Neodiprion lecontei: one gene and its partners. The protein of the gene in region 1 purifies or fractionates together with the protein of each later gene. This does not show direct contact. Links are inferred from orthologs where the notes say so. Each region holds a gene or a part of one and is shown on either strand. Other genes may lie near its edges.

The links. Proteins that work in one complex are often made in the same cells at the same time.
Region 2: the proteins of ATP-dependent RNA helicase me31b (region 1) and protein LSM14 homolog B purify together in Drosophila melanogaster (affinity purification with western blotting; 6 studies listed by BioGRID, with this or other methods). This does not show direct contact. The link is inferred for Neodiprion lecontei from reciprocal best matches to the Drosophila melanogaster genes me31B and tral.
Region 3: the proteins of ATP-dependent RNA helicase me31b (region 1) and protein PAT1 homolog 1 purify together in Drosophila melanogaster (affinity purification with western blotting; 5 studies listed by BioGRID). This does not show direct contact. The link is inferred for Neodiprion lecontei from reciprocal best matches to the Drosophila melanogaster genes me31B and Patr-1.

The regions. Positions count from the first base shown.
Region 1 is NC_060261.1:14,904,862-14,913,020, forward strand, and holds the start of ATP-dependent RNA helicase me31b, read right to left. Parts: upstream 4,927-8,159; 5' UTR 4,540-4,926; intron 2,952-4,539; 5' UTR 2,923-2,951; coding exon 2,782-2,922; intron 2,380-2,781; coding exon 2,173-2,379; intron 2,100-2,172; coding exon 1,928-2,099; intron 1,684-1,927; coding exon 1,533-1,683; intron 1,437-1,532; coding exon 1,241-1,436; intron 89-1,240; coding exon 1-88. Other genes in the region: zinc finger protein 2, read left to right, coding at 6,211-6,271, 6,774-7,461, 7,642-7,807. UniProt on the Drosophila melanogaster protein: ATP-dependent RNA helicase which is a core component of a variety of ribonucleoprotein complexes (RNPs) that play critical roles in translational repression and mRNA decapping during embryogenesis, oogenesis, neurogenesis and neurotransmission.
Region 2 is NC_060266.1:24,399,932-24,407,977, reverse strand, and holds the start of protein LSM14 homolog B, read left to right. Parts: upstream 1-2,966; 5' UTR 2,967-3,150; coding exon 3,151-3,271; intron 3,272-4,415; coding exon 4,416-4,570; intron 4,571-4,719; coding exon 4,720-5,035; intron 5,036-6,459; coding exon 6,460-6,655; intron 6,656-6,758; coding exon 6,759-7,088; intron 7,089-7,292; coding exon 7,293-7,490; intron 7,491-7,884; coding exon 7,885-8,046. Other genes in the region: cytochrome c1, heme protein, mitochondrial, read right to left, coding at 134-238, 409-543, 684-797, 874-1,038, 1,219-1,351, 1,456-1,604, 1,925-1,972, 2,419-2,490.
Region 3 is NC_060263.1:35,074,321-35,082,489, reverse strand, and holds the start of protein PAT1 homolog 1, read right to left. Parts: upstream 5,081-8,169; 5' UTR 4,966-5,080; coding exon 4,927-4,965; intron 4,179-4,926; coding exon 3,981-4,178; intron 3,740-3,980; coding exon 3,169-3,739; intron 3,060-3,168; coding exon 2,956-3,059; intron 2,678-2,955; coding exon 2,166-2,677; intron 2,062-2,165; coding exon 1,848-2,061; exon of another isoform or gene 1,847-1,847; intron 1,775-1,846; coding exon 1,559-1,774; intron 1,457-1,558; coding exon 1,193-1,456; intron 1,105-1,192; coding exon 847-1,104; 3' UTR 1-846.

The DNA.
Region 1 (8,159 bases):
AGCAGTAGCCGAGATCTGTTATTTTCTTAGCGAGTAATTCAACGCGTTGTGTTGAATTGCAGAATATTATGCTCTGTGTAATTTGTAACTTGAAAATAAAAATGATATAATTAGTTCGCTAGGGTTGCTCAAAAGTCTGATGTTCTCAGCATAACCAGGCAATATACGAAATGGGTATCAAAAATGAATCAAGTTTTCAGATGGTAGCTCGAAAAATGTGTAAAACCTCTAGGGTGAATATTTTGTAAATTTCACAACAAAATGATAACAAAATATACGTTTTATGGGGTAAGGAAATGGGTTGATACTTTTGGGAATTTCCCAAAGGGGAATCATCATTGGTTAAACTTTCCCTAAAAAAGGATATACATACATAACTGAGTTTTTTTTACACTAAATGGTAGAATTTTTGTTAGCGTATTTACATGAATTTAGGCAACGTTCAAAATTTACCTCATGCTCCGGGAACCAAGGAAGCAAATTGACAGGGCAGGAGGATGACCAGTAATGGTGTTGCGTAATGTTTGACGCACGTTATTACGTATTTATTAGTAAGAAGCGAGTAAGTAACAGGCAAATAGATATAATAAATAAATAATTCGCATTACTAATCACCCTGAAAAAATTTATCCTGAATTTTTTTGGATGTACAGAGAAGTTTGATGAGCAGAGAGTAATTGACTTTTTTTATGTTAATTGGGATAGAATGGTGGAGTTTAAGAAAATCAGAATTTTGATATTTCAAAGATGTGAACGAATTTCTTTGACTTACAAACGATATGCGAGTGCCCATATATTAAACGTAAGATTGAATTTAATAGCAGTTTTCAGAAAATAACTACTAGCATCATCAAAACTCCATGCGGCTGAAATTGGTAATGCTACTATACCGATGCTTTTCAGTAAATAATCGCTGTCTCACACCTTTAGGCCTGTGTGCAATTCAGTAAACCATACTTAAGCAAGTCATGCTCATACTTTGAAAACTTGACTCTCTGAAAGTCATTCTGACATTGCAAAAGATAGTTATTTCTTCCCAAATGTTCTGTTACATTAAAGATACTAACGTCAACTTCATAAGAATTCAGTCACCTGATTTATAGTTATTTGAGATTGAAGAACATTACTAACGGCCATAGTTGGAAAATGCGGAAATGAACCAATTACACGAAAAACGGACAAGTACGAATTTCAAATATTAATTTCTGCCATATCTGTTTTGATATTTAGGGAGTTTTACCTTAGAAAATAGCGTATTAAGGCAGTGAACTTTTTGACGTTCCTGTACAAAAGCATAATATTGTGTCACTCCTTTCAATGTCAACTCTTCCATCAGATTAATTTCATATGGGTCCCTCAGATGCTTTTCCATGAATTGCTTTACGGTTAGGGGAAATGTAGCAGAGTATAATAGAATCTGACGTTCTTGTGGTAATCTATAAACACAGATGTAAAGAATTTTGTAATTTTCGTTTCTAGTTGAATCCAGAAAAACCAAAATGCGATTGGACCACATTTGCAACAGTTTATACCTGGATATAACGTGATCCAGCATCCCCTTAAAGTCTTGGGATAGAAGCTTGTCAGCTTCATCCAATACAAGGATTCTGCAGTGATCCATATTTGCAACATTTTTATCCATCAGATCAAGGATACGTCCCGGTGTCGCAATGATTACTTGCACTGGAAAAGTACATTTCAATAAGTGCGTATAAATTAGGAATCTTAAGAAGGAAATTCATCTACAATCAACAAAAGCAATCTAATACATTGGGTCTGAATGTATGAGAATGGCGTAATTGGGTAAATCGACAAAACAGAACAATGTACAAGACCAATTCTGTTTCAACTTCTATTAGAGAAGATGAACAAGCCCTGGTTGTCAACAGATTTCCAGACTATTACGGACTATTCAACAAACGCTAACCTTTTTGGTAAATCCTCATAATGTCGTCGCGCAGATTAGTTCCTCCAGTGGTAACCATGACCTTGACGTCCATGTGTTTTGCAAGTTCAATGCATATCTGTGATGTCTGCAGAGCCAATTCTCTAGTAGGAACTATCACTAATGCTTGAATAACATCTTTACGTGGATCCACCTGCAAGATGCAATAATTAAAGTAGTGAAATTCGAACAACTTTCTATATGTCTCTTTGTTTATCTTTTCCTACCTGTTCTAATACAGGAATTGAATATGCACCAGTCTTGCCTGTACCATTTTTAGCTCGTGCAAGTACATCTTTGCCAGAAAGAGCTATGGGGATACTTGCTTCTTGTATCGGGGATGGCTTTTCCCATCCCTTCTCAAAAATTCCCATCAACAATTCACGCTTTAAGCAGAATTCCTCGAATTCATTTCCACGTGTGTCCGTAACATCCTATGATGTACAAAAAAAAAGTCTTGTAGCTTTGATTTGCATCACAAGTAATGCCTGATTATATTAGTTTAGGAGAAAATTTTTCAACTGCTAATAGTTCAAAATGTTTATGAAGAAAGTAATCTAATGTTATAATTAGTGTGTTATTCCTCAATTTTATGTATTCTTGAAGGAATTTTAGGAGATTGGTGTATCATTCACTAGCCAAAATAAATTTTTTTTATCAAGGTCTAATTTTACATCATTTTCCAATTGTCAGACACTAAGATTGATTACAACCGTTTCCATATTCCTAGTAATTTTATGAACCATGATTCTGAATGAGCACTGTTGGCATTACCAAATCAATTTAAGTGTCTTTACAACAGCTATTATCTTGAATTTTAGTTTAGTTTGACTCACACTTGTTTTGATGCGTTTGTCTTTGGGCGGAATTTTCAGTTTTGCTTTCCAACCTATATCGTCCATCTTTTCTAGATCACCTTTTGGACCCAAGCCGGAATTCAGCATGTGATTAGAATTAATATGAGTTTCGGTCATCATATCGTAGGCTTTAGAGTGTCTCAAATTTCCTGAAAGACAGAATTCAAGATGAAATTATAATCATAATCCACTTTATTTGTATACCCCGGATCCTAAACCTCGGAAGTTCACATCTTCATTTCCTTACTATTTTCATCAACCTGTTACAAACATTTATGAAAGTTATGCCTGTAATAGGAACTGTTAATTTCAGAATGAAATTCAACAATACAAAAAATAGAAATTGAAGATGACACACGGAACAATAAGCCTTGTGAAACATGAAATAACCGTACATTCTGCGAATTTTATCGAAACATTGCAGCTATCTACAGTAGGCGTTATCAGCAGGACGTGTACTTGACAATGGCTTTAAAAGAATAACAATATTCACAATCAACGTGAAAAATTCAGAGTACAAGGAGTTCATTTTAACACCAAGTGTAAATTTTAATTCAACAAATATGTGTAGACTAGCTGAAAATATTTGGCACGAGGTTGATATAAATTTAATCGTATTACCAAAACAACTATATAATTACAAAAGAAACTAAATCAAAAAATGAAGCAGCTCATGATAGAAATAAAGTAAGATAGAAATAAAAGGGAGGGAATGTGCAAGAGAGCTCGAATGGCAAGAGAAAAGAAGGGAGAAACAATTCTCAATATATAAGATTCATGTATTGCAAAAGACCGTGATCATAAATGTCTGAATGTATGGCAAAACAAAGAAAAGCTAAGGTGTGTATAGCGCTAAGCTGTACTTTGAGCTACGAAAAAAAATTTCAAAACTGAACAAGAAATACACAAACTGTGAATACTAGTTCAATTCAAGGTACACATACGCTGTTGCTGAAAAAATGTGTTTATATTGTCAAGCTTCGCTGAGTACAAAGATCGAGCAGTCGGTTTGAAATGTACCTTGAACAGTACATGGCTGAACATATAAAATATAGCTGAATGATTTTCATAATTTTCAAATAAAATTTGAAATTTTTTCTTTTTAGATTGCCAATAACAAGTATATGATAATTTTATTACTCTCTACGCTTGATTCGATTGCCGTTATTTTACTATGTTTGAAAATGAACCGACTGTGCTTTTTTCGGTAAAAAAAATCATGTGGCTACAGGCCAGCTATTTGAGCAAATAAAAAACGATGAATATACCGATGTGTACGGTGTATCAACAAAACTGGTATATACATCCTCCATTATGAATTTACTAAGCCACCGCAGTGCCAAACGGGTGTATAAACGAGGCTTTATGCCATGCCAACCGAAGGTTTCTCTTCTTTTTCTCTTTTCGCTCAGAATTCTCTAAATATATAATCTAACCAAGCAAGATACGAGGTGTACACGTATAATCATGAATTGAAATATTTGTGTAGATGCTGATAACGGTGAGAAAAATTTCACCAAGTACTAACAATACGGAATAGAATATCGCGGGCGAAAATCTTATGCCAAGCTGGATCCATTGTACCGTAACTGGCGCAGAGTTCTTTGAACTTTGATTTATAAACCGAAATAAATAATTGATGAGTCCAAACAAGATGTATTATGAACTTAAGTCAGAAATGTGGCTCAAACTCCATAATACGGTTCATAGAATGAGGTGAGAGAAGGTGTATCTTACCTTCAAACTGATGGATATCGATGCTGAAACACAGCACTCGATTCGGAAACAACACGCCAAAATGGCCGTTCCAATGTCAACTTTTTATAATCTCGGCTGTGCGGCCTGGCTCCCTTCCGTGGCACAATAACCTTCTACTTTCGGATATATATTACACGGGATTGTATCACGACGCTACTGGTATATTGTTTTTACAATAACTTTAACAATGAACGCACTGCGTCAATTGCGAGCCAATAATTATTATCTTTGAATGTAACACGATGTGTGCCGTGAAAAGAATAAAAACACTTTCGGAACACAAGCGGTTGCCTTGTGGCGCTCGGTGCGTGGCGTTCCACGAAACCAGTAACAACAGAGTGAAAGATTATCGCTGCGACACCAGGGCCGTGTTCGAAAATTTACTGACAGTACCACGATCTTACATACAGGTCTGGTAACTCCAGCACTTTTGAGTGGTAGGGGGTGTCACCGTTAGTAAGGCACACGGTCTTGTTTCCTATCTATCCGCTAGGGGCGCCAGTGGCCCGGGGTATAATAAATATAGATATATACCGATAAGATGATCTGCTCGTCGAAGTTTTTGACAGTTCATAACTCAGTGTAAAGTGTGTAAACGGTGTAACAAATTCAGGATTGTTGATTCCGAAAAATCAGCTGTTCGGATCTGATTTATGATTGGCTCACCCCGAGGGGGCAGCGCTGCAGACGGCGAAGACGGGAACCACGGTTCTTCCTCATTATCTGAGTCATTCCCCACCCTACTAGTTTCCGGACCTGTATGTAAGACCGTGGACAGTACTGTCAGCAATCTTTCATCTCTTTTGCGCTGCCGAGTTCATGGACAGCTCTGTCTCTGCCCTAGGGAATTTTAAGTACTGGCAGTTCTCTCTGCTGTAGAGACCTAAAAATCAATGCCAGTTTTGCAGCATGGAGATCGGTCTCCTTCCTTCTTACTCCCTGTCCCAGCCTCACACGTTTCACAACATTTTAGAGATACTTCAAAGCACGCTTCAAAATTTATAGATCCGTGAAACACTAACTGATCCGTTGAGTCGAGTGAAATGAATCAAATTACTCGAGAGCGGAAGAAGAGATCAGCTGCCCAGTATTCGCTGGGCAGTGAAAGTAGTTTCATGATTTTTTTGCTCTACCAGATCGCCTGCTTACTCTGTCTCATTTCTAAGGAATTTTTAGGGTTGGAAATACCAAACTATTTTCGAACAAGCCCGGAAAAGTATACCTTGCGTAAATCTTTGTAACGCAAGCATCAAGCTTATGGGTAATTTGAATTCGTATCACCATACTAAAACACAAGTATCATGGCTCTTATTATTAGGTTACCATTTCGTAGACTGATGTACCAACTTCCGAGGTTACAGAGTTTGACGGGATTGATAATGACACATGACATGTCAATCAATGTCTCATCGTCACACTCGTGGGTACAGATTGTCTGGTGTTTCTTTTTTGCAACCTTCTCAATGCGGTCCGGGATTAATGTATCTATGGCCTTGAAGAAGAATATTTCGAAACACGCCAATAGTGGATCACTTGTTCAAATAAGTTTTCAGATTTATTACTCTACAGAAAATAGTGTATTTGACATAATTGCAATTTTTCAATACATTCCTTGATATTGTAAAAGAATAATAAACAAACGTAAACAACATGCCACACTGCCTGATTAAATCGATGACAAGATATCAGAAAACAAGTAATTTACATGACGGTATGTATCACTCAATATTGTTTTCATCTTTTATTTTGAAAAATTGTTTGCTTAATTGGTGCAAAATTTTGCTCGCCGATCATGTTCCAGTCGAGGTTTGTAAATGGTACATTTCTGTAACTCTTTACGTACAAAACCAACGCAACAGAAAACTTGGAGCAACGTCAAAATTCCACTCACCATTATTAAAGAGTAGGTGCAAATTTTCAGGGTTAAGTGGAGATCAATTTCCAGGGAAGAAATTATGCGATATGGGTAGCTAATTTTCCAGCTCAAACCCGCGAAATTTTCTCTAGCGCATTGCGTTTTCTTGATTATAGGTTATATCACCACTGTTTTCTTCATCAACAATGTTACTGTGCAATCGACCATTCGCGATAAGTTCCATTATGTTGTGAAAGATCCAATTTACCCTAATCATTTATAAGATCAGTGATGCTTAGCATCAATTGTTTCTTTTTTTTTCAACCCATTTTCAATAATATTCCACAATTTTTCGTAGAGAACGAACTTTCCGTGTCGTGGTTGCCGACAGTATCTGATATCAGAAAAAAAAATCAAAGCAAAGAAGTGTCTTCAAAGTCTATAAATATGTGGACTTGTCCAAGACTTTCAATCGTAACTCGATACAGCTTTAAGAAAGATAACAGCATGTTATGGAACACATCAATTCCGGAAGAACTAGGCCTGCAGTTAATAGATTCCGGTGAATCAGCCGACGTACTTTCAACGTCTACAGTCATTGCAAGCGCGCCGACGGTAACGAATTACCTGTGTGACTTGAACGCAAGGAAGAAAGTTTTCGATGCCGACAAAGAACTGATCGAAAGATGCGAGATTATAAAAATCAACGACGCACAAATAAACGCTGAGGGCGGGAAATGCTGTAAAAATGATAATCAATCATCCGACGGAAAGTGCGTCGACCCCGAGTCGGTCGATTTATCTCCCACAATGCGATTACCGGCTAGTAACACTTTGATCAAAGCGATAAGATTTTACGAAGAAGAAAGAGCGCCCTACTCGGATGTCGGAAACACGGAAACTTGGAAACGCATCAAAGCCTTGCACTACTGCCCGTATTGCCGGAAGAGCTTTGATCGACCTTGGGTACTGAAAGGCCATCTTCGACTTCATACCGGTGAAAGGCCGTTCGAGTGTCCGGTTTGCCAAAAATCATTTGCCGATCGGTGCGTAACAAATTCAAAATTCAATTACATCGGCAAATCTTCCAAATTTACAACCTTTGAGGTTTGCAGAATTGCTTTCACATAATATTTCACTCCGTGAAAAGTGAAATTCGAAAACTGTTTCCTTTCATTTACGTTGTAAACATTTTACAATGTCCACTGCTAAATTTCTCTGCGCAGATCAAACTTGAGGGCTCATCAACGGACCCGAAATCACCATCAATGGCAATGGCGGTGTGGAGTGTGCTTCAAGGCATTCTCTCAACGACGATATTTGGAACGTCATTGCCCAGAAGCGTGTCGGAAGTATCGAATTTCCCAGAGAAGAGAAAATAGTTTAACTTGAACGTTCTATTAATAACTAACGTTGTATCAAATTGAATGTTATTACACGAGTAAGCTATAAACTCGTTACAAATATTCCTCTTTTTGTTCAGCCTTTATTACAAACATATAACTAAAAGACTATAGAAGCAAAGAATAACAACAAAATAAACTTGAATCGCATCTTAATTGCAAAATATGCATTATTATTTCTTTACATTTTGTACAATATCGACAGGCGTTGAAGAGACACCGTTGCTATTATAGTTTTATCGCAGTTATTCTACCTATATAAAAAAGCCGTAACTAAAATCGAGTCATTATTAGAGCTCAGTCTATTGTGGACCCTATTTTAAATTCACCATTTTAGATTT
Region 2 (8,046 bases), on another chromosome or scaffold:
CTGTTTAACATCGAAAATTGTCTCTGTTCCTTGCGGTTTTAAATAAAAAACTACTTCTCCTTTATCATGAGGGATCAGATAATTTTTCTTGGCTAATTATTTTAACTCGTGTTATTATATCTGCAAACTTTTACTACTTTTTCGGCGCAAAAACGATCTTACGACTCTTGATGGTTGACCACCTGTGTCTCTTCATGTAATAAGTAACCGTAAGCAATAACGTGAAGATTCCCACGGCCTGTAATAGAAAAACAAGAACGAGGAAACCATTAACAATTGCTGATAAAGCATATGTGAATAGAAAAACAAACTATGATTTGGCAGCAATAAATAGCCTGATAATCGTATCTTTTTGAAAGGTAACTGTTACGATATGTTTTGAATTGTACAGGTTTATAAAATCGTCACCTTGATAAACCATCGCTTTCTGGTATCAAACTCTGGGTTCGATGCCCAAGTAAGGAAGCTGACTACATCTTTGGCTACCTGCGATGCAGTTGCTGGAGTTCCGTCTTCAAAGTCAAGTACCTCGTCATAGATTACCTGTTTTTTGAGAAAAAAATTGGAATAAAATGATCAAATCTGGAGGAGAAAATTCTATAAGTACATTGAATATCATTGGCATAAATTGATTATTGTAAATCAACTACAAGTACAGGCGATTCGTAATTTTGCTGGCTTACCTGTGCCATACCGATAGCTCCACCAGGGAAATAAGGGTTGTAATACTGGCCGTCCATTAGAACGACGCCAGCAGGTGGGTCACAGTAGCCAGTCAAGAGAGAAAAGATGTAATTCTGGAAAGAGATGTAAATGAAATTGATGAAATAAGTCAGAAGGTAGTAAAATTGCGTAGCGTAAAATAGTACCGACCTCTCCGTTGTGTCTAGCGTTTACTATATACGTCAAGTCTGGTGGATAAGCACCATTGTTAGCTGCTCGAGCAGCCTCCTCATTGGGATACGGCGAAGGGACGTAATCCGAGGGTTTTCCTGGCCTCATGTAATATTCTCCCTGGTCATTTGGACCGTCCTTGATCTGAAGTAGAGTTAAAAACACAAGTGAGATGAATGCGAAAGGATGCGTGTATACTACGACATGGAAGCAATTTTATAACTGTTTAACTACTCTCCCCATCCCCGGAGATGTGAAATTCTTGAAATCAGATACCTCTACTATTCAGCGTTACTCTCGAATCTAGAAAGAGGAGCAACAAACCTCATATTCTGCAGCCATTTCCTTAACTTCCGCTTCCGTGTGAGTAACGCCAATGAGCTCACGGAATGCGACGTACTTGAGACTGTGGCACGAGGAGCAGACGTTCTTATATACTTCCCAACCTCTTCTCAAGCTGAAATTGTTATGAGTGCAAGTTACGTTTCAATCTTCCGACTCTACATATATTTTACACTTCTCCTAGAAGTCCAATTAACATCACATTTGATTCAACGTTACCTGGCATGATCGAAGGAACTTAAATGCCCATAAAAGTCCCAGGCATAATTTGGAGCGTGTAATTCAACGCCCTCAGCTTTCACGGAACTTTCCAAGGCATATACCAAAGCTCCAGCACCGCCTGTCGCAACGCCAAGGCATGCTAGCAACTGCAAATTTCAATAGAAACCACTGCGGTTGGGAATTATTTACACATCGAAATGCGGTGAGAAACACGTAACTGACTAAGATATTAAAATTATTTTTACAAACTGTACGATCGCCCTTCGCGTCAGGTTTTCAAATACCAAAAATGTCCAATTGTCTAGTTTCAGGGATATCATGGGATATCATTAATATCCTGGTATATTTTACTCACGGAGTAAAATAAAATCAAACTTCAGGGATGTCGTCATGAATTTTAGGAACTCTAGAGGTTGGGATAGGGCAGGGAAGGACGTTAGACGCTGTGCATTGTTATGTGACGTACCGTTTTTCGTCCCTTTGCCCAGTCTCGGGCGGTCGAGAAGGTGCTGACCTGCAAGAAGATGAAGGAGATATTTCTTCTCGTTATAATGATAAATTCAGAACTGCATAAAATGTGTCAACAGGCGTACATAACAAGAGGCTGAATGTTGCTCTATTACATAACGTGTATGAAGGGAGAATATATCATTTTAAATGGACACTAAAATTGTCAAAGTATCCTCTGGACCTTTGCTCTGATTAAGTAGTTTGTCAATAAACCGCCAGCTATCTTAGAAACTAACTATAGATGACTCGTAATAACGAACTGACGATTACAGACGGTTAAATTATGATGGTAAAACGTTCAGTCAAAGGTTTGTGAGGAGTGAACTTCCCTCGATAGAGAGACAGTCGTGGCCAATTTGTGACTTTGACAAAAGGAACAGCTCGATCGGAATTATCGCGAATTAAACTCTGAGTAGTAAGCCACGATTTTTCGGGTCAAAATTTACCTACTTGATTAAATAGAGCACCATTACTGGCTTTTAAAAGACCCGAACCGCAAACCCTTCCCAGCGATGCCGCCATCTTAGCTAGAGGTGCAGACTGCAAAAGAACACGAGTCGTTGGATGTACCGTTAATTTGACGAAGATATTTTTTCTGCATACATCCCGAGTATAAATACCGGATAAATGGAGGTTGAAAATATTATTAATTTTCGTTCAAATATCGACTATAATGCTATTCATAATATAATTAAAATCAATTATTGTAAGATTAGGAATATTGCGATGACGTCACGATTCCATGTTAGCCAACGTTATCTAAGCGTTTGTCGAACGGTAAATGTGAGAGTCCTAAATTATTGGAAATCATCTAACGCTGAAAATCCGAACAACGATAGATGCCTGAAACAGATTTATCACCGACGCGTAGCTGACCGGTGAAAAGTTTTGTAATAATTAAAAATTTCAGATTAAGATTAGACCAGATTTTCGAGCAGACGACCGACGCGCGTTCGTATCGTCAAGTTGGCAGCCTTGCGTTCGGGTGTCGTAGATCCTCCGCCATCGCGTACATCGTCCATCGGTGTCAGCTGGCGCGTAGAGCGTATAGAGAGTCAGCAGCGCATAGTTTTTGTGGTATATCGTTTCGCGTTCAGACGGTTGTATGGAGCGGTAGATGCGGACGGTATCGGGTATCTAAGTACATCTCGTTGATCGTTAGTAATACATAAAAGTTTCAAGATGAGTGCCGGAATGCCGGAGCTTGGTTCTAAGATAAGCCTAATATCGAAGGCAGATATTCGTTATGAAGGCCGTTTATTTACCGTCGATCCACAGGAGTGCACGATCGCCTTAGCCAACGGTAAGATGGACTCCTTTCTTTCTCGCATCAACTTTGTTTCCGCCGTTTTCATAGTTTAGCCTAACCGCCCGATGCTCGCAGACGACCAGAACATCTTTTATTACCTTTATTTCCCTGTAATTCAACAACTACTCGATATTCCACAAGTAGCTTTTACATTCTCAACTATTGATACCGGTTGATTATATTCTTTTTTGACAGTTCTTCTGTACTACCTTAACTTATCACTTTTTCATATCATATATTTTTCTCTCATTTCTTTTTATGAAAACAATCCAGGTCACCAGAGTTTACGATCCTGCAATCTCGCGTCGCAATCTTTTGCCTATCTCTCTGTCTTTCTCTCCCCCCCCCCCCCCCTTCCCCCCTCACCCCCTCTCTCTCTTTCTCGTTCTTCCGCTGTGTTATGTATTTCCATTCTTTACGTTGTTATTCCTCTTTCCGAAAATTTGTCGCAGTTACGTTTCATCCGCAATGATTGAAATAACAACAATTTCATTGCGATATTTCAATTAGTTATATCTACTGTAATTTCTCTCTTCTCTTCCCCCCCCCCCCCCCCCCCCCCCCCCCCTTCTATTATTTCACTTCTCCATCATGATATCCTAGTCAAAATTACGTGTATCACCTTCAAACGCTTGTTGTGAAGAATATATTTCAGCACAGTCGTATGATGACGGGCTCTCAGGTTCACCTAAGAGATTGTATTTTGTTTTTGTTTTTGTTTTTTTTTTTCTCCCTCCTTCGAGCGTTCTATCTATTCAAACGAGAACCGTTTGGATTTGAAATATCCGCTCAACGAATTCTGGGATTAACGTAAACGTAAACATAGTTGGAATCGATTTTGTGTATAACGTATCACATCATTGATAATCGTCAATCAATTGTACTTTCTGATTTTCTTACAAAGATATATGTTTTTGCTCGATTATTTTCAAATAACAGTCTTGCATTTTACTCACAAGTTTTCCAATTTCTCTAATATCAATAGAGAGAGTAAAATTCAGACAATGTTCAATAATTTTCATTCATAAATTATCGTTAATGTTATTATTATTATTTTTAAGACACATTCCGACGAGTGCCAAATACTCACTAACGATCGATTACTATTTTTCGTTAAGACTGTTTTTATTCGTTACAGTTCGTTCCTTTGGGACTGAGGATCGAGAAACCCAGTTTCCAGTAGCGCCACAAAACCAAGTCTATGAATACATATTATTTCGAGGATCTGACATTAAAGACATCAGAGTCGTCAACAATGTCAGCACCATTCCAAACGATCCAGCCATTGTCCAGGTAAAATATTGCTGATTCAAAGATCATTTTTGAAATGAATTATTTTGCTTCATCGCTCAATTTTACTAACACTTGTGTAAATTGTCCAGCTTTATTACGGCAGACGCGGCAGCTCGGTTACTTGTTACATAAATATTACCAATTCACAGATGACAGTACAGCCCAACATGGGTCAGCCGTCTTACCAGCCACAGCCAGGATTCAACCATCCGATGATGGGTCAAATCGGACCAATGGGCGGCCAGTACGGAGGCGGATACGCGATGGGTGGAATTGGAGCCATGGGAGCCATGGGTCCAGTTATGGGTATGCCTGCAGCTGGACGAGATCCTCGAGTCGCTATGAACAAACAACCAAGTGAGTTGGGCCTGGGCTCCACTGGAGCACCCAACGTCGTCTCGATCCCAAACTCGATAGCACCGGGCAACGTTGATCAAATTCAAAAAGACCAATCTTTGGAAGATGGTAAACTGTTTTTGCTATGATCTTGCTACCCGGCATGCCTGATGCTTTTCAGCTTGATTTGGTATAATTGTTTATTTATTCTTCACTTTTATCTAACATCTGCTCGCCTCTCGTTGCTTTTTTACTTCAACCAAGAGAAAAAGAGTCAGTCGTGCCTTTTTTATTATGAACGGTTTAACGTGGACCGAAAAATTACGGTTCTTGCTGCAAAAATAACATTACATTAATGCACTTCTGCTTTGGCTGGTCTCTGTACATATTTTCTTGTCTTTCTTTTAAATCTGCTTCTGCGAATAGATGCTTTTTTATTCTACGAATTTTATTACATCTATCTCAACTCGCTACATTTGAGAAATTTCAACTCATTTTTTGCATTTGAAACATGACGCGGATCGTATAAAGAATTATTTATATCAAATTCTCGTTATTTACATGTGCAATGTTTCAGTCATGAGGTGAACTGTACTTTCAAGTTTTGGTATTGTTCAGCTCACTCTTGGAACAGCTTTTAAAACTCCTTAACCAAATCGTATCGATTCAATAGTGCTTTGTCACTGTTCCATTTGACTCTTTTCGTTGCATGTTTAATCTGTTTCTTCTTCAACTAGGAACAGTATAGTTTTGCCTACAAACAAACGAAAGAACAAATATAGCAAAACCAGTTATCATTTACATTATGGTATAAAATACGTGTAACTTTCCTTAATCGATTGCAACTTTACTTGTGCGATCCATCTTTCCATCTATCTCTATCTCTATCCACGTTGTTGGCATGTATTCATTTATTCTCAATTGCAAATTCTTTTAAATGATTTATTTATTTGTTTTTTTCATTTGTCATGTTCCGAAATCTAGCATGAATTTGTAGAAAATCACTATGAGATCATTTTAAAAGAGAGTACACCGATGCTTTAATATAATTGTTCATCTTCCTTGCTACCGTTTCATACAGTTTACCATTTTACCTTCTAAATAACTATTACTAACCATCTCAGCACCGTGTGATAATTGTGACCTTCAATTATAACGTATTACTCAAGATGTAGAACAGTTTCAAAATTTTTGAAACAACATTCACTGTCTGTCTGGTTCTTTTTTTGTCGGAAATCAGCTGAATAATTCTTCAATTATCCGGTGCTGTAGATAACTAAAACTAATTGACAAAAATGCATCTTCTGCGGCTTATTTAATGTGACAGAGCTGCGGAAGATGTAAAAAGTCCAATATCTCATGGCAATACACCAGAATTGTTCAAGGGCATCATTGATCGCATTAGAACAGGATGTCTGTCTTCTCTTGCATTATTGGTAAATTCGTCTGCCTCAAGATTGCCTCAAAAATATTGTTTGTATACGTGTGGAAAGTCAAAGGATAAAACAAAAGTATCCCAATTAAAAAATCGAATTTTCCCCCCTGCTACACAGGTGTGTTGGACTTGATCAGCGGAGGATCTCGATCGACTACTCCCACTTCATCCCTGATGACTAGGAAAAGTCCGACTATGGATCAGGGCACGCAGGTTGGCCATCAACAGCGGTCGACGAACGCCAACATCCACAAACCGATGAGCGACAAGCCCAACGCTAGAACCATACAACCATCTTATCGCGATCGTGAAAGGTTGGTAAAAATATGACTTGTACTTTCATTCTTTAAATATTCTATCATTGCTCATTCATTTTCTTTAACTGTGCAATTTACCTATGTAAATAAACTTTCGCAGTCATGGCAGCGGGCGAACCGGCAGCGGCATGTCCCAGTATAGCGACGGAAAGCGTGACAATCGTGAAAAGCAGGACGGAAATCAACTTCAAGGACACGGACATCCTTCAGGGCCGAATCACGCCCAGATGCATCAGGCGGGACGCGGAAATCGCGGCGGTTGGATAGCTCGAGGAAATATTCGCGGACGAGGAAGGGGACGCGGCGGTGGTGGCGGAGGTACCTTCAGACCCCCGCAGCCAGGAAGCATAAATAACAAGCCGAAGAACATGTTGAAGTTCGAGAATGACTACGACTTCGAACAAGCCAATACGCAGTTCGAAGAGCTAAGGTAGACGCACTTGAACAATACAATTCGCTGTTTTCGAACTAGATATTGAAATGCCCGTTTTTGTAAATACATTCAAGTAATATATTTTAAACCGAGTATATTAAAATTTAAAGGATTTATATTCTCGGTGAGATCTGGTTTGATACATTGCTTATTAACATTTGGACAAATGAGTTGCCATATAATTTATGACGGAGTATGCAGTTTGATTGAAAATTGCAGGTCCCAATTGGCTAAGACTAAGATTGACAACGGTACTGACAATGAGAAAAAAGACGATAGCGGCAATGAAACTGGAGCGGGCGAGGGAGAGCCTGAGGAAGAAACGGACGTCGTACATTACGACAAGTCCAAATCATTCTTTGACAACATTAGTTGCGAAGCTGTAGAGAGGAGTAAAGGGTAAGTTCCGTCACGCATTTTACAAATCGTTATAAAACAACGTTCTTTGCTATTTTGCCAAAAGTAAAAATGTTTCAATAATACGGGAATTGAAATTCTGGAAGAATTTGACGAATTTACTATTCTAACTTATTCAGATTTCTGTCTGTATCTTTTACTTGCAAGTGACCTTCTATGTATGAAAAGTGCCGGATTCACTTCATATCAATTGAAGCGATGAATGTGAATTTCATACTAGATAAAAATGGTGTAACACTGTAGCTTCCGTACTTTTGTTGTGCGCGGATGGATCTAGTGTAGCACCGATACTGAAGATATTTTGTTGTACGTTCATTAATTTAGTGAAAAGAATGAAAAATAAAATAGAAGAAAAAATCAAAATTATTCATTACAGAAGATCTCAACGCACGGATTGGCGGACGGAGCGTAAGTTGAACTCTGAGACATTTGGAGTCGCCTCGACGAGACGCGGCGGGTTCCGTGGACGTGGATACTACAACCGCGGAATGGGAGGTGGCATGTATCGTGGTAACAACGGATATCGCGGCGGATACAG
Region 3 (8,169 bases), on another chromosome or scaffold:
ATTATTAATTCTACTCGTAGTGCTAATATTTCAACGATAACTATTATTATTTCAGTCAAACATTATCTTAGATCTTTTGAGAGACCTTTTTTGTCTTTGATGCCCCTATTTAAAACAGAGATTGAAATGGTTGTCCCAATACAACACGTTTTGTACAATCTACCAGCATAGCTAAGTTTTACTAGAAAAAAAATTATATTAGGAAAAAAAAGGCCGTTAAGCGTCATGTGACTTATGCTACTTAAATTAAAAAACGTGAGAGGTAACAAATAGATTTTTTCGATTATATCAAAACTCTCATTCAATTGTTTGATTTTTAGTCCATCAATACATTAATACATATTTTTTAGAGCGAAGACGAAGGTGTATTAATTTTGAAATATTTGTTCGAAATTTTCAGCCGGACCACTGGATATCAGTAGAAACAGTGTGGATAATTATCATTATTTTCTCACTTTTTTTTCTTCTAAATATGTATATCTCCGATATGGAGTAACTAGCAGATTTTGCTATTTCGTCATAAAAAAGTAAGATAGTTTGAACAGCATTAATATAAATTCTATCAACAGCTATACACAACTGTCTGTGTTTCAATATCTTTTAGAAAAGAGAATATTTTTTTTCAACACTATCTCAAACTAGGCGTAAAATGCATTTCACTGTACTTCACACCGGTTTATGATATCCAGTATTACCTATGTATTCGCTAAGATCACTCAGAGGTAACAAAAACACTGACCCTTCAACATTTCCCATTTTAGTTTTAGAAAGTAGTACGGAAAGTCGCGAAAAAAAAGAATAAGAACGAGAAAAAAAATTCTCAAATTACATATTTTAAAATTGAGACTATCGTGAAGGGTTTGCATCGGTCAACAGTAGTTCCAATGGTGCATACCTTTCAATTTTCAATGATTGAATCCTGTTTAAATGTTGATTAAGAGTATTAGCCGCAATCGGTTCACATGGTGCAACGCTGGGAGGCGTGACTCCGATCGTCTCTACTAGTGTCATAACAAAAGTTGACCAATCGCCAGCCATCGTATCCTCAACTGGAGATAATGTTTCAGCTTGTTCTAACACCGAGGCTATAACCGATACTCCAAACTGCAGTGACAATAAACCAAATTAAGTTAAAACCACTGTAAATATGTAACGATCAGACGAGAAATTGCGAGTCAAAAATGGTACAAACCTTGTTTGTTAAAGCAAATGCTAGGCTGTTGTTTTTTAGTGGTAGAGATGCTGACTCAACCAATGCCTTCGCTAGGCGTAAAACAGAGCCGAAATCAGTTATGGTATGTAACCACCTTCGAAATTCAGGATAAAAGTTTGTCAGTAAATGAGAATCCCTGCGTCCTATAACTACCAATCCGCGAACCAATCCAGTCCACAGATCGCCTAGCTGAGAGCTGTATTCAGTTACGCTCATGTGTGGCAGCAGTCGAAGTAACAACATCTGCAATTGATTTTCCGATCACATAAAGGACCATTTTGTCAATCGATGTATGACGTTTGTTACTCTACAGTGTTAAACTAGACCCTTCATGTAAATACTGACCTTTCCTTTGCGAATGCTGAGCAAAGCGGCTAATTTATCATTTCGCAATATTTGCAGAAACGAAGTTATTAGTTTGCCAATCAGTTCAACTTTGGACTCTTTGATTGGTTTCTTTTCTCCTTCTCCTTCCTGCTGTTGTTGGTGTTGCTGTTCAGCTGCTGCTAATAGAGCTAAAGGATTAGTCAGATCTTCGAGCTTTAACTGCAACGTGTACAACTGGAAAAAAAAGAACAAAGAGAATAACTAGTTGAAACATGATGTTGAATAATTGTAAACATTTCAAACTTACTCTTTCGATCTCTAGTAGAAGTTGACGTGTTTTTTTCGAGTCTTTCTGTTGTGAATGTGGTGCTTGCTGAGGATCGTTGTTTGGAACCACGTCCATGTCAATTATCTTGCGAGGAGCAGTCACACTACCACATTGAAGCTTACCAAGCGAATTTTCAAACTGCATGGGCGTGTAAACTACCTTTGTCAGTATATGTTGTTGCTGATCTCTATCCCTGTTGTGATATACAAATTATTGACATTTAGAGAATAAAATATTATTATCGAATTTATGAGCTTTGTTTGGTTTGCATGTCGAAAAAATATCGAGTATATCTACCTGGAATCTCTATGGTGGCCATTGTTGTTATGATGCCTTCTGTCCTTGTGTTCCTGATTTTCGTTTAGTTTGTTTTGCCTGTCGCAAAATACAGTGTAATAATAATCTTCGACATATGGCTGGTTGGTGTTCAGTTGCAACAGCTGGATGTTGATCAGCCATTGTTTCTCACGATTACTCATAAGGCCGGCGTACTCATCGTAGTCACCCATTGGACCACTCGATCCATTCATACCTTGATAGTGGTGCTGTTGATGATACCGTTGATTATTTCGGTTGTGATTATGATGAGGGTATTGATTGTTTTTGAAAAATGGCTGGTGAGTAGGTGGTTGATGACCAGATGGCTGGTCATTGGAATGGAACGGTCGATTATTCTGAACTGTTCGCTGATTTCCTGAATGGGGAGAGTGCTGTTGATGATGGTTCATTTGATTGTTAGCAAATGGCGGCATCATCGTTTGTTCAGGACGCAGTAATTGAGGTGGAGGGAGTCCTGGATAAGGTGGTTGCTAAAAGTAAAACAAATACCACTTCAATTTCAGGTGTTACATTACTCCTTCTCTTTGCTTTCACTCCTCTCAACTACTCACGAACTAATCTTTATGAGAAATTTTTCGTTACTTTAGGATCGCTACAAATTTTGACATGAATAATATTCCAATATTTATATATTATTTTCAGATTCAATATCAAGAACAAAACCTTACTGAACTCAAAACTTTTTGACTTTTCCAAGTTTTACAGATTTGTAGCAAACCTGTATTCTTTCATGTTATGAATAACTTACAGGATAATTATTACGAAATGAAGGTGGTGGAGGCTGCCTTTGAGCTCCTGGTGGCATCATCAAATGAGGAGGCATAGGGTACCTTAGCATATTACCTTGTTGATCTGAAAAAAACATTGAGACACGATTTGGAGCAGTCAAGTTTCACATACAAAATTTTTTTACCAACATGATAATGAAAATGCTTGAAAATATATAGATGGTTCTACTCACTAGGAAGCAGTCTGTGGTGCTGCATAAACTGAGGTGGTGGTGGTCTCACTTGAGGAGGTAAGATGACACGAGGACCTGGAAGGCCTAATCCTGGGGGAAAACGAGGAGGTGGTAGGCCTTTCATTTGAAGTTCACCCAATGGTACGGAATCGAACAAGAATGGTCCACCTGATGAATGTTGTTGTTGTTGTTGCTGCTGCTGCTGCTGTTGTTGTTGTTGCTGTTGCTGATAGTGTAATTGTTGTTGCTGTTGCTGTTGATGATGGTGCTGCTGCTGTTGCTGCTGCTGCTGCTGCTGTTGTTGTTGTTGTTGATGGTGCTGTTGTAGATGCAGTTGAGGAGGTAGAGGTTTAGCAAGACCTGGAGGCGGTCTACTAGCGATGAGACCTCGCTCCAATTCCTCAACAGTGCAGACATTTTTAAGGGTAGATGAAATCGAAGGACGCTGTTGAATTCTGGGCATAGGAAAGCTCGTTGGGCTGTCCCAAACACCTGGTCGTGGCGTTGTCCCATCTCTATCATCTAGTACCAAGTGTGACAAGCTATCTTCGATATCTATTTCAATGCCATTCTAAAAATGAAAGAATAAAATATTGTGCTTTAAATTGCATCAATCTTGATTTTAATAATTGAACTATCCAGTAAATGCAATATATAATAAAACAATCTGAATTTTTGTATTCCAAATCGGGGCAAAATAACAAATCTGTGTATCATACAAGATTAAAATCAATCATTAAACTTGAAAAGTAGACTGCTTGTAAAAAATCTTAAATTTTGCGGAATCTTGCCCAAGACAAGCAGTTACAAACCCGGTGCAAAGGTAAGCTGGGCGGCTGCTGTCTACAGGACTCGGTGATTCGGGCCAATTTCTCATGATCTTGCTCCCAATCTCCACCTGTTGCTTCCGCTCCGAATGTTTCATCGTTCAATGCATCATATTCATCTTCTTCACCAATAATATCTTCATCTTCCAATGGTCCATCAAATCCATCTTCTAGGCCATCACCCTGTTAAATTTGAGGAATCATACAACAAATGACAAACATTCATCAATCCAGTAGAGAACACATGCAATAGATTGAACGTGCCAGTAATATCGGATGTTATATTTTGCAAATAACCCGAGATCATATTACTTGGTATTTTGACGAATTGGAACTCTGGGTTTCAACAAATAAATATTGAATGAGAAAAAGAGATCAGAGCATTGAAGTGCAAACAGAGACACCTTACTGAGTTGACAAATTAATTTTGAAACTGTTGTACGTGCGAAATTATAGAAACATAACCTATGAGTTATGGCTGACGGTTGAGCTTGGAAGCCGCTGAAATTCTCAGAAAAATCTTGCGAGATTTGATGAAATTTTCACGGTTAGCGACATTCAATGTTATTGACCTTTCCGGGGCGGGGATAATGAAAGACTTAGGTTATGTATAGTACATTCGTGGCCGTATCAGAGTTCACATCCGTGAAAACGTTGTTTGCATCTCGGCTGGTGCAGGGTTAATGTTTAGCGTAATTTCCGTACATGCGAGCGTAAGAAGGATGAGAGATTGTGAAACGTCGACGTGAAATATCATAAAAGGCATTAGCCGCGCGATATGCTATAAAAATAACAAATTTTCGATCCATGCTGTACCGCGACGCGGTCGAAACGCGAAAAAATCAAGGGTTTCCCATCGGCGATACCTTTCCAATCGAAGGAAAATTCCGAACAAATTTAACGAGAAATAATATAGCCAAATACAACTTACAGCGAGAGATGTGTCAAATCCGAAAAAAGAGTCTGCCATTTGTCAAAATTAAATTCGCAAAATGTCATGATCCGACTAAACGTCAAGCGCTGGAAAAGACATCAGCTGTCATGGCGGTCACGACTAACCACGGACTTCCCGACAGGCTTTCGGTATTCCCCGTCAGAGAACGCAACACATCGCGATGGGTCAAATTCACTGTCCCTGAAGCCGCGTTTTCAACCAGTGTTTCAACCTCTCATTTCATAGATGCCATTGATTATTTGCCACGTTAATCAGAGAATGGTACGAAATTTGAAATACGATAATCAAATCATTTGTTCATGGCCCAAAGTACGCTAATAAGAAGGAATATCGAGTGCTACCTCAAAATTATACATATTACGTCTATCTATTGCCCTCTCCGATAGTTCCGATTTCCACCACGCATAAGCGCTGTAATAGGTATGAAACCGGAAGTCAAGTCCGAACGGATCCCAAAGTATTCAAGTGTTCTGGCGGGTTCACGTTTAGCTATGTCAATTCGCAGAGTGTTCCACGAAGACGAAAAAATATACTATAGCGAAATTTTTGAAAATTTGAAATTTTCTTCCAATGTACAGGATTCTTTTCACCTGTGTTTGTTTCAATTCACGTTTGCTTGACTTGTTTATCACCGAAAAATGCCGAAGACTAAACTTGGGAAAAACTCATCTGTTACTACGGCCTCCGACCGTAATGATATGAGCTTTACCCGGTGATGACAGTTGAAATATCCGAATCAACGTCGTTTAAGTCAGTGATTTAAATCTTTTTTCATCCTAGCTTTTCCTGAAATTGTCACCATCGATTTGTAGGATAACGGAATTGCCACAATACAGGAAATGAAAAATATCAAATACCATTGGCGATGGTTCGTAAGAAATATGCTTTAACTTTTCAAAACGATATCCTCCTTTATTATCATCATTATAATAATCACTTTTATTATCTCTTAATCGAGGTATAATTTATCTACACTTGTTCGGTCTAAAACAAGAACAACGATAAAACTCGTCAATTTATTTTATTACGGTGTGCTTAGAGTAACGTTGCGAATGTTATACGTGATATAATTTTTATACTTTTGTTTTAAAAGTACTATCAACATTTCATTTAAACTTTTCTTTAGTCAACATGGTATTGTGCTTGTACATACATCATACAGACTATATACGTGCGAGTGTGATTCATTGTATTCTTGACTGATTGTGCATACATTGCCGTGATAATAAATCACATACCTATATTTATAGATACAGACAGTTTATACTTATTTGTTTTATTCATATAATTGAACAATCCGAAATCTGAGCTTCAAATCAGCCTTCCCGATATTTCAAATCAACTTCTTGTATAAAAGTACAAAAAAATGTTTTTGGCAAACCATAGAAAAGAAGAATTTACAATCTGAACAATATCTGATTGTGAGAACATTGACGATACGAAGAGTATGCGGAAACACAACCGAGGAGTCAATTCTTACTTCTGCGATGAAATAAAGGATTCTACGAGAACAATTGTCCGGCCATAATTGGGAAAGGCTGTTTATTTGTGTATACCGGTTGTTTGTTTTTCCTCTCTCTTTTTGGTTTTGAATTCATACGATAGTTTAGGTATGACTCCGCATATGACTTTTCTCTTCGAACTATCCGTTAAAACATAATTAATTTTATAAAATAATTTTAATTTATGATAAGTTAATTTGTCTTTCAATGAAAAATTATTCGAGATTTTCAGAAAAATTGTTTAATTATCAGGCGAATAATGTTGGCACGATGCTTAATATAATCAGAGAATTTGGAATTCTTGTCCCGCGCCTGGACACTGGCGAAAGGTGTTACTTCAAAGTAATTTTGTCCTCTTTATGCCGGAAGTGGTTCTTTTTTTTGTCAAACTCATAACGATGGTAATCAATTCAATTTTACCAAGAACCCAATAAGCTATTTTCATTCCAACCCTAATTTGGAAGTTACAGAGTTTTACCTAGGTCGAAAATTATTCGTCATAAGTATTTCGACTCCTCCTACCTATAATATTCAACGATAAATTATATCTAATTTGCCTCGTTTCGTATACCGATTAAATACGTAATATCACTATATCGTCAACATTTACGGGTATTTGGTATTATTTCATTAGTTTAATATATCGTTTCGGCATTATATTATATACCTATATGTATACTTAATTCAAGAGGAAATACGCCCGTCGTTTTGTTCCCCGAAAAACTCGCTAATTTGCCGAGTAATAATATGGTATATCTAAATTAGTTCATAGATAATTATTTACGTAGATATCATAGTTATTAGTTTGCGATTGACCAGAATCCGTTGATAGTAACAACGTTGTATGTGCTTTGCAATTGAAATTAATTTTTTTAATAATTCGTTTATCTCTCATGCAGTATATGTCCAGAGTGGGGATCGTATATTTGAAATTTTAAAGCAGTATTTTAAACTTATACGTTCAAGTTTTTCTACAACTCTTTTTTTCTTGTTTACGTTAGAGTCTTCCGCTGCTTCAATCAATGAGTATCAATCAAGTTTTACAGTCTCGCGTGCAGTGATTTACGACGTGGAGCGTGAGTTAGAGGTTAATAGCTTTGCAGCGTCGCGGGCAGGTTGATTTTTATTAGTTAGAAAATATGTCTTATATCGTGAATTATACGTGTACGTATATGAGCTCTTTTAGAACTTTTCTACGCTTTTACCCCTGTACTGTGAGGTTAAACGGTTATGATTATTTGTTTATTTATTCATTTATTTATTTACTTATATATTCATTTATTTAGTTTCATTATGATTATTAGGTTGTCTTGTCTTTTTCTATGAACGAAGTCATATATTGCTATATCATTGTAATCATAACAAAAATAATAATCGAAACAATGATAACGTCTTTAAACAATTAAGTAACCGTAATATACATACATTAAGTTTATATGTATATAATATATATTCATAGATATTTTGTATAATTATTTAACAACATTCTGATATTGCGACTTCAAATTAAAAAATAAATATGTTTCATTATATTACTATTTTATTATATTGCGCAATAAATATCTACTATACCTATATGTATATTATACACGAACATGCGCGTCGATCAATTCAACAACACATTATACTCTTATTACTTAAATTTTAATCGCCTATTAGGAGGAGCATATTTATTAGGGTGTGTGAAAAGATAAAAAATAATTTCCCCGGAAACAGG